4 linked regions of the Drosophila melanogaster genome follow. The protein of the gene in region 1 interacts with the protein of each later gene in a pairwise test. Each region holds a gene or a part of one and is shown in the gene's direction. Other genes may lie near its edges.

Evidence for each region.
Region 2: the proteins of CG2865 (region 1) and term interact in a two-hybrid assay, tested with the Drosophila melanogaster proteins (one large-scale study listed by BioGRID).
Region 3: the proteins of CG2865 (region 1) and zfh1 interact in a two-hybrid assay, tested with the Drosophila melanogaster proteins (one large-scale study listed by BioGRID).
Region 4: the proteins of CG2865 (region 1) and CG13287 interact in a two-hybrid assay, tested with the Drosophila melanogaster proteins (one large-scale study listed by BioGRID).

What each region holds. Positions count from the first base shown.
Region 1 is NC_004354.4:2,290,377-2,295,296, reverse strand, and holds the start of CG2865 (uncharacterized protein), read left to right. Parts: upstream 1-1,885; 5' UTR 1,886-1,944; exon of another isoform or gene 1,945-2,003; 5' UTR 2,004-2,607; coding exon 2,608-2,972; intron 2,973-4,920.
Region 2 is NT_037436.4:18,591,752-18,595,770, reverse strand, and holds term (terminus), read left to right. Parts: upstream 1-1,999; 5' UTR 2,000-2,159; coding exon 2,160-3,446; 3' UTR 3,447-3,468; downstream 3,469-4,019.
Region 3 is NT_033777.3:30,764,003-30,768,979, forward strand, and holds the start of zfh1 (Zn finger homeodomain 1), read left to right. Parts: upstream 1-1,923; 5' UTR 1,924-2,281; coding exon 2,282-2,378; intron 2,379-4,977. UniProt on the Drosophila melanogaster protein: Involved in the development of the embryonic central nervous system, embryonic mesoderm and adult musculature.
Region 4 is NT_037436.4:5,880,700-5,884,593, forward strand, and holds CG13287 (uncharacterized protein), read left to right. Parts: upstream 1-1,604; 5' UTR 1,605-1,707; coding exon 1,708-3,093; coding exon of another isoform or gene 3,094-3,120; 3' UTR 3,121-3,391; downstream 3,392-3,894.

The sequences.
Region 1 (4,920 bases):
TTTTTAAGATAATCAAAAACGTATGTACGTACATATGACTTATGTACATACATATGCTCATATATGTACATATGACTTATGTACATATGTACATATGCTCATATATGTACATATGTATGTGTGTGTGGGCATTATAAAAGATGAACTACTGAGATCGAGATCGAGTTGATGGCACTATACCAAGAAACGCGCGCAGGCAAATGTTTCTGGCTTATTTGTCCTCTTGTGACACAATTAGCTGATAAAGTTCCTGATGTTTTTCCCCGCAGCGTCTGGCATGTGAATCATCATCGTCATGGGAGCTTTTGTTTCTGGGAATTTCAATTTTGAATAAACAAAATCAAAACGAGAACTTTACTTCTTGCGGCTAAACACTTTGCACAAACACGTGCAAACTCTATGTTTGCATTTGCGTGTGTGTGTGTGTGTGTGTGTGTATGTCGTCATCGACCGTCAGCGGCGCCTTAATAATAGTACACAAAAATGATAAACAAAGATCCCCCCACTCACAGCACTCGACCCCTCCAGCCATTCACAACGCACGCTCATGAACTCTTCCCTTTCTCTCGCACTCGCACTTGCACTCGCTCTCTCTTTGTTTGAGTGCAAATTTGCATTGTCTCTTTGTGCTCGCACACAAACATATGTATGTATGTACATGCACGCAGACATAAGTGCGCACATAATCACACACGCTGACTAGTGCCAAACTGACCTCACAATTGTTGTTGTTACGATTATTTGTGCCCACTTTCTTGCTTTTGTTGTTGTCGTTGTTGTTGTTGTTATTTTTCGGATCATGCTAAAACTGTAAATGATGAGATGAACTTGTTGAAGAGGATGAATCGAGCTGGAAACGGGGAAGGGGGTTGATTCGAGCTCGCATTTCAAAACCTCAAAATACATAGTTTATAGACCTTCTACAGAGTCATAAGCACACATACATACATACATCCATGTATGCATACATCTTTGAGACAACACTTAAAAAACTATTCTACTTGGATTCTGATTCGCAAAACAGACTATAGGAGCCACTCTACAAGCATGAACATATGTATACATGCGCATATGTGTGTATTTAATTTTGTTAAACCCGTTAAGCCGAGCCGATAAGTTCAAGGGGTTACCCCCACGCCTAATTTGGCAATTTCAATGGATTCGAATGATTCCATGTCAGCGCCGTGTGGATTTCTCAATTAGCAGTTGCCGCAAGTGTAGGTGATTGCCTTAGCAAGTACTTTGCATAGCCAAATCCAGCCAAAGTCACTATTTTTACATAATAAAGGGGCAGGAGCAACAACTATGCGGATTATGCTCATCACCGAAGCGCCCAACCACTCAAACACCCACGACAACACAAATACACCACCCACTGACCAGCGATTTGCTTCCGTTACAAATGAGTAAAAATCTTTGCGACAAATATACATACACATGTACAGTGCAGGTGGAGAGAATAGCACTGAAAATGTAATTACAGTTTTAAGATATGTGGGAATATTGGAAAAATTATGTTAGCAATTTGCAAGTTGGAACTAAGATTATTGTGTCTGTAAAGATTGTTAATGCAATATGTCAATTAACTTAGTTCATACAGAGCACCTATATAAAGTAAATCAAATCATTTAGCTTGAGACGATTGGCCTAAAAACTTTTATTTAAGCGCCTAGGTGTTATTATTTGTTTGCCTCAGCTGTGTGTATGCATGTACAAATACGCACGTAGGCCATTCGCTCTCTCACTCTCTCTCTCTTAGGCGCTCTCTTAAGCCACTTCCGTTTGAACGCAAACATCTGTGCGCTCTGCCACCGAGGGCAGAGGCAGCGACGCCACTGCGGCAGCGGCTGCGAGCGAACGTCTTTCATTTAGCGTTTGCGTTTTTATTTCGTTTCGAACGCGAGAACCGTGCGGACGTGTGCGGTTGAAACAGGAACCGAAACAGTAAGCCACGGTGACCAAGCACAAAGTTCTCTTCACCCCTCACCTTAAACCCTCAACAGGCGGCCACCGAAAAATTAGAAGAGACCACTAAGAAATAGAAACAATTAATGTGAAGCCCCGACCCCTCTGCAATTTTGAGTCAATTGTGTGCCTAAAACTAAACAAACAAATCTGACAATTTTTGTTGAATTTTTTTATTGTGTTTGACTACATAGCGTAAGCAAGTGCAAGTTCTTAAAAAAAAAAAAAAATAAAACACAAAAATTCAAAAGTCCTGGATTATTTTGAATTTTGCCAAACTTCAAAGACAACAACAAAAGCGGCAGGCTCGACTAACGGTGAACAGCCAAGTGAAATCTCGCAAGGCAACAACAAAAAGAAAAACAGAAATCAGCAAAAAGAAAAGAAAAAGCAAAGTCAGACAGAAGAAGAAGCAGCACCAGCAGTACCAGCAGCAGCAAGTGCAAGAGAGCAAAAAGAGCTCGCAAAAGAGAGCGTATGTGAGCCGAGTGGTGTGACTTCCTTGTTTCAAATAATTTATCGAAAATCACTCGAATCAAAATTAAATTGCAAATCAAAGCAGCAAAGTTGTTTTCTGTCTGTCAAAGAAAACCACATAAACAAGCCAGCAAACAAGGCACACACTTGCTTGAAAAACGCACAATGACCTTGCCCACAAACACACACGCATCTGCAAACGACGGCGGCAGCGGCAACAACAACCACAGCAATATCAGCAGTAACAACAGCAGCAGCAGCGACGAAGACTCAGACATGTTTGGACCACCCCGCTGCTCCCCGCCCATCGGCTATCACCATCACCGTTCCCGTGTGCCCATGATCTCGCCAAAGCTGCGGCAGCGCGAGGAGCGCAAGCGGATCCTCCAGCTCTGCGCCCACAAGATGGAGAGGATCAAGGACTCGGAGGCGAACCTGCGGCGCAGCGTCTGCATCAACAACACCTACTGCCGCCTGAATGACGAACTGCGGCGCGAGAAGCAGATGCGCTACCTCCAGAATCTGCCCAGGTGAGAAGACAGTTCAATTTAGTCCTGACTCACTCACACTCACTCACACCTAATCTCATTTGGTTAGCAGTATGAATAGGTTTAGTATGATTATGGATTTAATGGCTATGAGCCAGTGACCTTAATTAAAAATCTACTGCGATTAGTGCAACGATCCAGTTGCCTAACTCTTGCATAAGTAGTGCAATCGTCAGTGATCTCTTACAAGATTGTAGTTAGCAAGCTATAAGATAGTTACGTTGTTAAGAAATCCATACTTATAGCGCCTGTGATATATGCATAGCGGTTATAATAGATCAACTTTAGTACTCCAGAGGTACGAACCCATGAATATGATTGCAACGGAGCTCCTTTGTGCATCGAACATCATTGTTACGAGTGTGTTTGTTGTTACATTTCAAGCGACTTACTCAGCAACTAACTAGATTTTTCTATTTTTACATTCACTTACTCAAAGCAATAAGCAGAAAACCCAGTAACTTACTGTGTCCGGCTTTTGAAATATGAATATCTTCCAGCCGTCGGGTTAAAAACGAATGTATTTGGTATTTGGTGTTTGGTCATAAATATAGCGAAACAGTTCGAATGATGTAGATGTAGGGATGCCCTTTTCAGCGCTCAAACCACTTTAGCCGATTCTATTTACATTTCCACACTTTTGGCCAGGAATTATTTGTTGTACGAGAATTGAAAATGGCCAGGCATTGTTGAGTAGTTAAGCTCATGTAAAATAGATTTGCAATTCAGCAATTATGCCTTCAAGTCAAACCAATTAAGAGACGCAATTTTGTGGCATTTGTGTGTGGCGTTTGTTTCTTTTTCGGTCGGTTGCATATTTAGATACAGATTCAGATTCGAATTGAGATTCGTATTCGAACGCAAAGGTCGAGCTAAGCAGCCGACACAGCTGCTGGAAAACCCTTTGATACCTGATACCTGATACGGTATGTAAATTTTGCCAAATAAATTAACTCATTATGCGAGTGGGTGGAGTGTGTCTCGCAATATTATTTCAGCCTCCAGTGCAGGTTACACTCATCATCATCATCATTATCACGACAAGCGAGGCAATCATGATGATGTGTATGTCATGTGAACTGTGAACTTGGGGGCGACGCCCACGCGGCGGATGCTTGATTTGTTTTTGCCCTTTTAAAGTGCGTGGTGCGTATTGTGCTCGCACATGCATACATATCTATATTTATATACTACATACATATGTATATTTATATATAGCTACTGCTGAAGTTACGGCTACAGCTACAGCTTTAGCTTTGGCTATACACAGATGTGCGGTTGCCTGGGTTTTAAAGGTTAAGAGTTGAGAGTGGGCGACTTTGCTCTTTTCCCAGTTGCGTGGCATTTGCGGTAGTTAAAACTGAAAGCTGAAAGCTGAAAACTGAGCAGTAAGCAAATGCGATAATGCAAGGTGTTGAGATGTATGTATATTCGTGTGTGTGTGTGTGCGCGATGCATCCGTAACCGACTGATGGCTGACGGATAGTAGCATGTGAAAAGGGGGGAGGGGGGTGTTTGAACACCTAATCGACGCCAATGTTGAATGATTGCTGATTTTATGGCTGCATCTGAAATTGGGACTTCGATTTGATAATGATTATTACTTCACTAGCTCAAACGTAATTTGCTACAATTTGTATCTGTGCTCCCAACTAGCACAAAGTGTCAGTTTGGCAGTGCCAACGATGATGCAATTATTCAGGCCCAAATACAAATACTAAGCAGCATTTTCTATGGCTTCCATAAGGACTGTCTGTCCGTCTGTCCGTCCGTCCGTCTCTCTGTCTGCCCCTTTCCACTGGCTGGCCAATGCTCAATGCCGATGATACTGCAATGTTGCAGCAACAATCCGACAGATACGAATATACTTGTGAAGATACAATGGGGATATACATGCATACGTACCACGTACAGATACGGATACAAACAC
Region 2 (4,019 bases), on another chromosome or scaffold:
TGCTGGGCTGGGAGGTCGTTGCGGTGCAGCCGGCTTTGACTGCATACTCGGATTAGTTTTCTTGCGAGGGGATTTGTATGGGTGGTCAGCTTTTCGTTATACTTCGTTTTTTTTCTCAGCTATTACTTCGATTACTAATTTGATTTTTAGGTCTCTGTGTATGTTTTCGTTCCGAAGGTACCACGGCGCTCCAGTGATAATTCTCAGAATTCTTGACTGTGCTCGCTGAATAATGTCTATGTTACTTCTGGATGCGTTGCCCCACAGCTCGGAGCCATAAGTCCAGATAGGTTTTAAGACGGAGTTGTATAGAAGAGCTTTGAACTCCAGACTAAGTGGAGAGCGAGCATTTATGAGCCAGTGGAGGTTCCTTGCTTTAAGTTTAAGATGTTTCGATTTGGCTTCTATATGTTTGCGCCAAGTGAGCCGCCTGTCCAGATGAACACCCAGATATGTTACCTCGTCGGCTTGTGGAATGCATATGTTATTCAAGACCAGTGGTGGGCATGTTTGTTTGTTTAAGGTAAAGGTAACCTGCTTGCATTTTTGAACATTTATTGAAATTCTCCAGTCGGCAAGCCATCGTTCTACAGATGATAAGTGTCGGGATAGGAGTGCCGTGGCTTTTATTGGGCATTTGGAGCGACTGAGTATCGCGGTATCATCAGCGAACGTGGAGGTTGTTAGATTGTAGTCTATGGGGAAATCCGCCGTATACAGGGTGTATAAGATTGGATCCAGTACACTGCCTTGCGGCACTCCAGCTTCGATTGCGCAATCGCGTGAAGTGCTTGTATCGCATCTTATTGCAAACACTCTGTTATATAGGTATGACTTCAGTAGCTTATGTGTGTTTTGGGGCAACAGCTTGATTATTTTAAACAAAAGTCCATCGAGCCACACTCTGTCAAATGCCTGCGCGACGTCTAGAAAAATGGCTGTGCAGTATTCTCGATGTTCAAAAGCAGTACGAATTTCTGACGTGATTCGGTTGACCTGTTCGATGGTTCCATGTTTTTCTCTAAAGCCAAATTGATGTGTTGGAAGTGTGTTGTTTATTCTAAGATGAGGGCTAATCCGAAGGAGTAGCATTTTTTCAAACAGCTTTGAAAGACATGTTAGTAAGCTTATCGGTCTATATGATGATGGCTGCGTTTTATCTTTTCCTGGCTTTGGAATCATTACTATGGTCGACTTTTTCCATTTTTGAGGGAAGTATCCAAGCTTATCGATTGCGTTGAACAACAGGCAGATGTGAAGAATAGCACACTTTGGGAGTTCAATGAGCATTCTTGGAGTTATTAGGTCGTAGCCAGGCGATTTTCTTGGGTTCAGTTGCTCTTTGATAACCTTTGCTAGTTCACATGGTCGGAATTCAAAGGGTTCTTGAGGATCTAGATTGGCTGCTATTAAAGGAGGGAGAATAAATGTGTTGGTAGAGGGATTTGGTCGGAATACATTTTGTAAATGGTCAGCGAAAGCACAGGCTCTTTCTTCATCACTTCGAAACCAGGTGCCAGAGGGACTTCGTAGTGGCATAATTGGCGCTATTGGAGTCTTTAGGTTTCTGTGAGCTCTCCAAAGAGGGTACTTAGTGCTGGTGGGAGAGAGTTGCTCGATATATGAACGTTGGCTGTTTTTTTCCTCTTGTTTGAGAGCATTGGTAAGCCTGCGTGTGGGTATCTTAAGCATGTGCTTTGTAATTGGTGATCTATTAGACTGCCAATCCCTTCGTAGGCGTCGTTTATCTAATACCAGCCGCTCTATCATTTTTAAAACAGATTATACCGTATACACCTATACCTAATAAAACTTTATGACCGCGCAGCTGCTGTTGTACTCAATTATTAGCACAACTTGAATGCTCATAAAATATATGACGGATTAGGTAAAAGGAAAATCCACAAGTAGATTTGTAACACCAAAGGATATATGTACCTTCACAGTCTACCTGTTACCCTGTAGTACTAGTTTGTATATAAGCCAGGTGGACGAAGATAAGGATATCACTCAGCAACTGAATCTTGCCATAGATACATCTCAGTGCTTCCGGAGCAAACTGAAAGAGTAATCATCTATTTGTGCCTGAAATTGGTAAATCGTCCAACAAAGCTATATCCACCTTTAGTTTTCGAATCCAAAGTTTCCATATCTCAATCATGTTCGACGAGCCCATAATCTCCAGCTTCGTTTTTACCAACGAGGAGACCACGCAGACATTCCACCACCAGTGGTTTTCCCAGGGCCAGTTACACGAATGTGCCACCTGCTACAGCTCCATCGACGCAGATGAGCCGCCCTCCCAGCATTGGCTGCGGGGAGGAGAAGCATCACAGGGCTTGCATCTTACCAAGCAACAGCAGGCCGTTATGGATATTATCGAGGCCCGCCAGATCGAGACTTTCTTCTTCTGCGACGAGAGTTCCAAGGACAAGCTGGAACACTTCATGGGCGAGACCTGTGCGAGGGGAATCCCCGAGCTTCTCCGCTGGATGTTCCAGAACAACACCGTGGCCGTGGAGTTCAATCTGGCCTGCTACGTGAACGCCATGGACCAGGTGTTGATCTTTCAGAGCGGCTCGCTGAGGGCGGACCACCACTACGACGTAGACGAATCCGTGGGCGTGGTCTACGAGATGCTTATGCAGAGGATTGAAAACTACCTCAACTGCAGCAGCGAGTACGGCATGGCAGAGTGCAGCATCACCAGATTGAAAGTACAGGTGAAGAGGATTAGGGTGGAGGCGGACGGTCAGTCAGCGGACTCGTCCGTCTTCGCCCTACCCCTGCAGCTTCAGGAGGAGGAGGGCCTGACCGCCACTACCGGCTGCTCCACCAGCGAGGCAGAGCTTGCCAGTCTGCGCTCCGCCTACCTGAAGCACTTCCGCGAGTGCAACGGCTACTTCCCGCCCAACATGCGCGTCAATCTCTACGGACTGCAGCAGTGCAAGACCACCAAGGAGCTGTATGTGGTGCCCTATCATATCAGCGAAACCCTCCAGCAGCTGCCCAACAAGAACTTCCTCATCCTGAACAATATCATGGGCCAATTCCAGCGGCTCCACGAGCTCTCCACCCCCGTCAATTCCATCGAAAGGGATCAGACCAGCTCGCCGCTAAAGGACCTCCACTGCCGGAGGTGTCGCACCCAGTTCTCGCGACGCAGCAAACTGCACATCCACCAGAAGCTGCGCTGTGGCCAGGACTTCTCCGTGGACAGCATGCACGCGGACATCGTGGAGATCTACGAGCAGTGCCTGCCCATCTCGAGAAGCGTCTTCCAGCACGCCTGCTACGGCATCACCAAGCCCAAGACCATGATGCGGAAGGGTCAGTTTGTGCCCATCGAGTGCGACTGGCGCAGCGAGAGCTCCGTGAAGGTGCAGCACGGCCCGTGTGTCGTCATCAGCAACGCCCAGCACAATAGTCCTTGTAAATTTTATTAAATAAACGATAACTTTTAAGCTGAAACTTAATTCTTTCTTTTAACCAGGGGGTAAATCAATGTAAGGGTAGTGGCGGTTGCAATAATAGCTAATAACTTTTAATAATAGGTGAAAATTTTTAGGAATTTTATACGTTTTATTGCAAAGCCAAACGTTTAAGACAATATTTATTATTAATTGTGAGCACCTCTCGCCACTGTCGTTGGCAGACATCCAGACATCTCCGCGACAGGAGTACGTGACCGAGTACGGGACCGACTGCAAAAATATTAACCACTGTTGTTAACCAGATTAAATAAAATACTAACATTTGTAACTAACATGCTTGTACCTATATTTGTAGCCCCAACTATATGTGTGCGAATGCAACAGGCTGATTTATTAATGAGCGCAGGATTTTGGCTTTCTCAGGGCAGATAGCCAACAGTTTTAATATGTATGCTACGTCTGATTTACCACCCTTATATTAAATCAATAATTTAATATTCCCTGCCGTCGATTTCACCAAACTTGACGCCTTTCTTCTCTGAGTTCTTCCACTCGATAATTTATAAGACCTTTATAAGTCCTGTA
Region 3 (4,977 bases), on another chromosome or scaffold:
TATTTTCAAGTCCAGACATAAATATCTATTCTGATTCATTCTCGCATATATCTTATTGAGTCATTTTCCCACTTCATCAGCCTCCAATTTTCCCTGGGGCTTTTCCGCCAATCGAACGAGCGCAACAGGTGCAACCGATGGACGACCAATGTGCGCACCTTGCTCGCTTCTCATTAAACACCCACGCCACCTCACACAGATACTCAACACACGCGCACGCGAGTGAACGGCAACTAATTAACATACAAAATGAATGCGAGGCAACAAAAAAAAAGCGGCCTCTCCGGCGGCTATCTCTCTCTCCCTCTCTCTCGCTTGCACCGCCGGCGCTCTCTTTCCCGCTCATGGCAGTACGTTTCAAGTGAGAAAATTATGAAGCTCCACCTATTTTACACTTACACACACGTAGCGACCGCGTTTGTGAGTGTATGGGTGTGTGAGGGAGAAGGGGGAACACATGTTAACCGCATTAAAAATTAATGTACAAATTGTTTATTATGTTGTCGAGTCCGCCTTTTGTTTTTGCTTTTTATCAAAGAGAGCATGTTTCGCTTTTTTTTTCGATAACACAATTTCTGTTACCATAAATATCTTTTTATCCATTTATACTTTTAGTTTTCAAATCTATATGTTTCTTTGAGCAGCAAAATATAAAGTACAAAAAAAGCAACATCCCAAGGGGCCGCCAAAACTTGTTGATGGAGCCAAAGAATCAAGCCACTCGCATTCTGCTCTCTTCGTTAGAATTCTTCGGTTGTCCGGGATCTCTTGGATCTCTGTTCTTCTGTCATTTTGTAGACGTGTCCATTGATGGACATTCTCAAGAACTCGCCCATCAGCAAACGATGTCATTAATGTGTGGCAATCGCGGAACGATTTCGGTATTTCTTACTCGGAAATCGCAGCAGAGGAAATTTTGCAATCGCAAGTGCAAATGATTTTGTCCGTTAACGCAGCGATGTGGCCAGGAAAGGGTTAAGGGATTCCCTGGAAAAAAGAAATCCCCTTTATCTCGCACCGCCAAATTTACCCGAAAGAAAAACGATCGAAAGCTTTCTTGAGTGGGGAATTAATCATAGCGATATGCATACATATGTGTGTAATTCCCACACGGGGAATATTTTGTCATAAACTTGATTTACCGGAAAGACTTAAAAAATTATAATACAAGTATATAATTAAACTATCTTATTGCTGTTCAATTCTGGGAATTTCAGATAATTCCTATTTATTGTTGAGTATTAAACTGTTTATTAAAAATATTTCCTAATTATAACAATTAAATATGTAAATCACTTAAGCTCTACACTTTAATATTGATACCCAGCAGCACAGAGTATTAATAAAATAACACCGAAATAAATTTGACGGTTGGCGGAAAAGTTAATGGAAAGACTCATAAGTCGCTTTATCAATAAAAACGAAATTTTGTGCAAATGTTAATATAGTCAAATCCCGCATAACGGCCATATGTTTACGAGCAGCACGATGAACAAAAGAGGCCACCCTTACGTAGTGCTTACGTCACGGGATAACCGAGAGGAGCGGCACTAACAGCGCTTAACATTTACGATATGCGATAACAGAGAGCTGTTATGTTAAGAATGAAGCGCTCTCGCTTCTCTGGCACCACCACCAACACACCACCCATCAGAGCATTAGAGCACCAACCACACTACCCCCGCCCGAATCACCTCGTACATCGGAACGGTGAACCGTTACACCGTTATATTATGCTGGTGGTGGCACGGAGCACACACACAAACAGCGCCGCCCTCTCTCACTCGCTCTCCGTGGAAACGTAGAACCCCGCCGTATCGCCCTCGCCCGAAACTCACAGTTCGCATCCGACGGATTCGGTAGAGGACGTCGGTCTCTGTTTCGTTCTCGGATTTGGCTTGATGCTTCGAAACTTAGAACTCTGAATTCAGTTGCATCGTAGACGTCGCGACGGCAGCACACGCGTCGCTCACCCACAGAGAAAACTCTGAGCAGCACACAGTAGAATCACGCAGATATAGAACGCAGATCAGTGAAATCGCCCACAAAATAAAAACAAACGCGACACTCGCAGCGGCGCATCGCGAAGAAAAATCCCAGTGTTTCCCATGTTCGAAAGATAAAAAACCCAAGGCCCTTGCCCAAATGGCCGCCACAACACGTGTGTGCTCTATAAGAAAGAAATAACGCCGAGCCCAGAAGAACCCACTAGCCAACTAGCCAACTAGCCAAACAAACTATCCGCATCAAAGTAGAGCAAGTGTTGCAACAAGCATTCCAAATGTTGTCCTGTCTGGCGCCGTCGTCTTCACGTTTCGGCCAAGAGGATACCATCATTCAGCAGAGCATGCCCTCCACCTCCCCCTTCGCCATGCAGTGTAAGTGATCAGAACGCGGATCTGGAGCACAGATCTCGGGTGATTCATCCGCAAACCGCCTCCATTATCACCAATCAGCCGTGCCATAGAACTTTGTGTTCAAGTGATTCGCGCGCCAAGACTCGGTAGCTTCGATTTGAAGATCCCCACATGCAAGCTTAGCAGTTTCCCAGAAACCATCCGCCATCTTGGGTATATGTGTGGTCTCCACCTTCAGGGGATCATAAGAATGAGTAGCTATAGAAAAACAAACTCATAAACGGCGAGTAAGGATCGAGGCAGGTCTCGAATTACCATTACCTACTCCTACGCAGAGAACGGGCTCCGGTTCTCAAAAAGGAGAGAGCGAGCCCGAAACCGAAAAAGTTTGCCCGATCAGCACACTGAGAGAAAACTGGGTCACTTTGTGCAACTTCTATACGCTTTGAGAACTTAAAGAACTTATTGTTGTTCAACTATAATCATTCGCTGGTTTTCAGCTACGAAAGTCCTTTTCCATGAGCTAAAACTACAATATAGTTAAAATTAGTACGGTTTAACATGGCAGATCATTCGATTTCTTATATCTATTGGTCATATCACGCTCTTCACACATGAAAGTCGGCCAGTCGATCTTGAATAATGGCATTATTCCCTGCATTGCATAGCATAGCCACCTCTCTGTTCCTCCCAGTGGCCGACCAATTGCAGCCACATCTCAATTTGATTTGTTGGCACCGCCGAAACAGCACCGCCGCCTTGCCAGTAATCTCCACCCACCGAGAACCAGGTAGAGCTACCCCTGACCAGGAAAACCGCATGCGCAGGCTGAAACAGCAGACGACAGGTAGCTAACTTGGCCAACACCATTACCGCGATGCCGCACCTCCATTTAAGAACCTGTTTTATGGCCATATTGCTGGTCGCTTGCCACTCTGTTTATCGAGTGTAAACAAAGCATAAAACTGTCAGTGGGCAGAGCTCATCGGTTGAAATGGAAGGTGTGAGAAAGAGCCGAAATTAATTGAAAACGCTTAGTTGGGGAGCATTGGGGATGGCGCAATGCTGGGGAAACGCCCACGATTCGTTCGGTGCTCCACTCCTCCGACTCTGACAATTGATAAGCCAGCTAAAGAGACGGATTAATTGCACATGTTCGGTGGAAACGGTTGAAACGGTGGCAACACCGCTGCCATAAATTATAATTTATGGCTATTTAAGCAGCTCCGTTCTCTGTGGGCGGAACTAAAAGCCCTCGAACACGATAGTTTGGCTAATCGATCAGAGATGGCTGCGCACAGGTTGGCCCACATATCTTCGATCCATATACTTTCCGCTTGTTTTCCGTCTCTTCCCTGGGCAAACCGAGCTGCTTGATGGCGCTGGGCAGCTGCGACTGCGATGGATATTAATCGCCGGCTACATACGAAATGCTGTTCGCTGGGCTTTTGGAAAAGCCGGGGGAAAACGCCAGCCAGCCAGCCAGCTAGTCAGCCAGCCAGCTAGTCAAGTTGTACTAATTTTCCGGCTGCTCGGCGTGTGTTGTGTCGCATTTCGAAACGGCTCCAAAATGCCGTAAATCAAAGATTTCGCCCTGGCGAAAACCTGTCGCCTGTTATCACCTTCGACTACGCCCCTTAGCTAAATATACTCTAAATATACTCTATGTATAAATCAGCGCCAATTTCCATTCCCATTTTCGCCCATCGAAGCCCTGAGCAGAAATTAAACATTTATCTGACATTTGCATCTTCGATTGGGAATACCTACCTAGTGTGTGTGTTCCACCAGCAACAAGATTGCCTCCTGTCTAATTAATCATTTTGGCTGCTGTCAGTGGATGTCAGTTTTATATGCTGGTGCTGTCGGTGCTGCCATTTATAACTCCTGGCCGGCTCATCCTGCATCTTTCACCGGGCACAGGACTCTGCCCCGTCAGCTGGTAATCGAAATTAAACAAACTTGGCCCCACAAACTATCTGGCAACTGGCATGCAAAGATGATTAATTTTGCCGATGCCTATCTCAAGTGGAGTTGGAGACTTCGGCCCGACTTTGCCCAAAATAAACAGACTGTGTCTTTAAATTGCAATTGAGCCAGGCTACAGAGCAAAAAAAAAAAAGGAAGCTCCCCATTTGCAACCAGCACAAAAGGACAATAAATCAATGAGGGGAAAGTCCTCTTTGATATCCTGCTGCAGATTCCCTTTATTCCGTGTTCAACCTGCCGCAGCTTTGGGCAAATTATTTGCCACATTTTACTTTTATTTCGCATTTTGGCCAAAAAGTAAATTGTTTGCCAATATTTTTTGCTGCTCGCTTTTTGCCGCCGTCGTGCACACAATTGAAACAAAGATAACTTTGAAACAGTTGTAAAGTGAAAATTGCACGGAATGCAGCCCGCCTCCTTGCGAATATATTTTTTCTTATTTATTTAATGCCCGCCGCTCTCCACGAGACAACAATTGCTACCCGTGCTATCCCCCGAAAAAAAAGTGCCAAAAAATCGGCGCAAACAAAAGGGTGCCCCCTGCCACCCAACCCTTGCAACACCCCCTTAAAAAAGGTGTTGCCAAAGGGCAGGCAAAATTGCAGCGCCAAAGAGGAGGCTCTAAAAAAAA
Region 4 (3,894 bases), on another chromosome or scaffold:
ACCATGCGAATTATAGGCTCCAGCACACAGATACTCAAATGCACCCATACACACACACACGCACACTCGCACACTCGGCTGTTGGCTATAAATATTAATTAAAAATGCAACTCATATGGCAAGTGGAACAATTAGCACCTGAAAATATGCAAACATTAAATTGCCGCTGCTGCAGCCACATGGCTGCAAGCAAAAAGTGCAACAAAAGAGTCGAAAATTTAAATAAAATATACATACACCCCATAGCTGCAAACCCTGTTCACGACTGACCATAACAGACACATATTTTGTCCTGGCAATGGCCACATCCTTGCATCCGGTCTGCCAGGATCTAGGGTCTAGCCGGAAAAAAGGGAAATAAACGGGGGATCAGAACGAGACGGAAAACGAACGGAAGGCATTGCACAATTTGCTATTGTTGCATGTGCATATTTACTGGGCACTTGCCACTTTTTCCACATAGCGCTAACTTAACTGACAAATAAATATTTCGGTATGTTGAAAGATTTCGACGCTCAACAGTCGCCTACAAAACGGGGGAACCCCAATTCCAGAGCGTGTGTGTGTGTGTGTGTGTGTGTAGTTGGCAATATGTAAAAGCTACGCGCAGCATATACTCAAAATCCAAGCCAGCAGCAACAAACGCAACAAATACACCAGCACAAAACATGGCCACATATTCACACAATCTCGCTGGAACTGCTAAAAAATCGACAAAAACAACCTGTTCGGAAACACTTGCAACAAGGACATCACCACCGACAGAGACGGGCATAGAGCCAGACAGAGAGGGCAGGTCCTGCCATATTTTCGGGGTGGGTGTGAGAGGCAAATCGAGAGAGAGAGCAAGCGAGAGAGCGGCCAGGATCAAGCACCGCCTCCTTGCGAAAAGAGATGAGTGCACAGTGGGCGGAACAGGGAAAATAATTTAGTAAAATATAATGTTTTGGTAAAAATCTAAATGGAAACCATGCGAAAAAGTTTTATTTATTGTAAAATATTTGAAAACATTTACCTAATGAAGTTTAAGCGCAACTACTTCAAGATATTCAACTCTTTTGAATGAATAAGAGTAACTTCTCATATAGATGACCCTAGTTTCAAATCCTTCTAAGTTTAATCAATTAAGTTTTTTAAATAATATCACACAACTTTAACAACAACATTGCCCATTGTACCAATGCATCACATACAGCACAACAAGGTTTTCGAACAAGCCAACCTGTCCGTGAATGCTAGCCAACCAGGAGTCGTCCTGGCTAGGACTCGCACAATAAAACCACAGAATATGTTCGCCAACTGGCAAAGCAGATGGAACGCTGGAGAGACGGAGAGTGGGCCAAAGAAAGAGAGAGAAGACCGCTGGAGAAAGAGAGGACAAGCGGGAGTGAAAGAGCAAGAGCAGGAACATAAGGGTGGTGCTCTCTGCAGGACCTGAATCTGAACAGACTCCGAGCAGAATCAGGACAGATGGGCCAAGTGCCGCGAGTGCGGAGAGTTGCTTTTTCCCAATTGAATGGGACAATATGAGAATACGAGAATTCCAACTGGACGCGGTGGTTGTGGCAGCGGGTACTTAAAGAGGAACAGATTGCGGGCGGCCAGCAGTCGAAACTGGAATTTCGAATCGCAAGGAACTGTATAGAACCAAAGACCCAAAGTCCCTACCAGAGCCAAGTGAAAGTCGAAAAGTGTATTGAAGTGAAAATGAATCTGCTCATGGATAGCATGCCGTCGCACGCGAATCCTGGCCAGCGTCGCCCAACGCCGCCTCAGCACGCCGAGCTTAGGATCTCCACATCACCGCAACAGTCACCGCAGCAAAATCAAACCACTAATCACAATAACAACAATGAGACACCCACATCGCCACCGGGTGGAAAGACCACTCTTAAACGCGCCTTCGATGTGGCCTTCCTCATGATGCCCGATGAACGGATTAAGCAAAAGCAGGCCGAGAAGCAGGCTCGCCTTCAAGAGGCACTGCACCATCATCACCACCAACAGCAGCAGCAGCAGATGAGCCACTATCCCACAGATTTGTCTCCTCGAGGAACCTCCTCGCAACCACCTTCGCCGGCGGCACTGGAGTACATTAGTCTGTTGGAGGCACGCCAGCGGTATCCACAGATCAGCATCCGTTCGCCGCGGGTTTATGATGATCCCAGTGTGGTCATACCCCTGGTGGATTCTCCAGAGGCACCATCAACTTCTTCACCACCACCGCCCATGCGCAGCGCTTTTACCAAAGTAGCCTCCTCGTCGCTGTCCACTTCATCATCCTCACCATCGACCACTTCACGTTTGGAATCACCCGTGGATGCGGGAGCTCCGCCCTTGAGTCCCGATCAGCTAAGCTGTCACTCGATAAGTCCACCATTGGTGACACCTCCACCAAGAACCAATAGCGGTGGCCAGAATCCAAATCCCCTGCCAGCAAATCCCATAGTCTACCACAACTTCCGACCGGAGTATCAGTTCAACGGAGCCTTCCAGGCGGTGAATCCCATGCAGGCTCTGCAGGCACAGCAGCGCCTTAAGCAGCAGTTGTTGTACACCCGTCCACCAGGACCTGGAAATCCCAATGGAGGAGGACCTACTATGCAGGCAAACTCACCACCGGGTCCACCGTCGGAGTTCCTGCATGCCTATCCCGGATTTGCTCCGCCACCACATCCATTCGCGGTATCCCAACCTCTCCAGAATCCCGCTGCAGCAGCCATTCTCTCCACGTTGATTCCACCCACATTGGCATCCACTTTTACACTGACCGCTCAGAATGTGTGCGCCAAGTGCAACATAAGTTTCCGGATGACCAGTGATCTGGTGTATCACATGCGATCCCATCACAAAAGCGAAGTGGCCTGCGATCCAAATCGACGGAAGCGGGAGGAGAAACTCCGATGTCCCGTCTGCCAGGAGACTTTCAGGGAGCGACACCATCTAACGCGACACATGACCGCCCACCAGGACAAGGCCAGTGATCACCAGCCGCAGCTGGAGGACTCATCCTCATCTGCCGGTGACAACGAGATCATCAACGTGGTCGGCGGCACACCGCCAGGTCGCCGAATGGGTGGTATGCCCAAATGATCGAAGCATTTCTTCGGATATTTTTAAGTCATCAAGTCAACTAACTCCCCAAAAACAAAACCCGTTGCCCATTTTCGATTGTGATATTAACTTTAGTTTCCCCCACGCTCCGATTTAATTTCCCCTTAGCTTTAAATGTAGTGCAATTTGTATCTTAAATATGTAACTGGATCTCCCTGTATCTCAATTAATTATCTTTCTTATCGAAGGACCCGAAAGGATCTTCAGTTTCATCATTGTAAGATATTATGGCTAAGTTGCAAATTCAATGTGTGGCTGAATGTTTCAATAAAAATCTAATTGTTATGCCAATTCAATAGTAATCACGTTTTATTAATAAAATTTGGGTTAATGGGAAATTTTATCTTGTAGTAGATCTGAAGTATTCTAAAATCATGTTATGAAAATGAGCTTGAGGATTATTGCAATCAAATATTTTTGAAAAGCTTAAACAAAAGCCAATGAGTTGTCTATGCTTTCGAAATAATGTGATTAAGCTTATATAGACGCCACCTTAATAAGAAATCCCAAAAGACAACCGAGCTTAAAATTCAATTAATTTTTGAAAAAAAGAATCCCAAACCAGGGATTCTAGAAGACGAAGATATCTTGATTTGGCAGCATATGGAGTTCTTTGAATTCCTGGCCGGACAACCCATTATTTCGATTGTGAGGTAGACCGAAAACATAGGCTCCCAGGACCAGAAAAAGCACCAGATTTTCGCGGGTACCAAAAGTAACATACGCCATGTTAGTAGAGCGAAGAATATGTTCAACTTATTAGCGCAGTGAGGCAGTGAA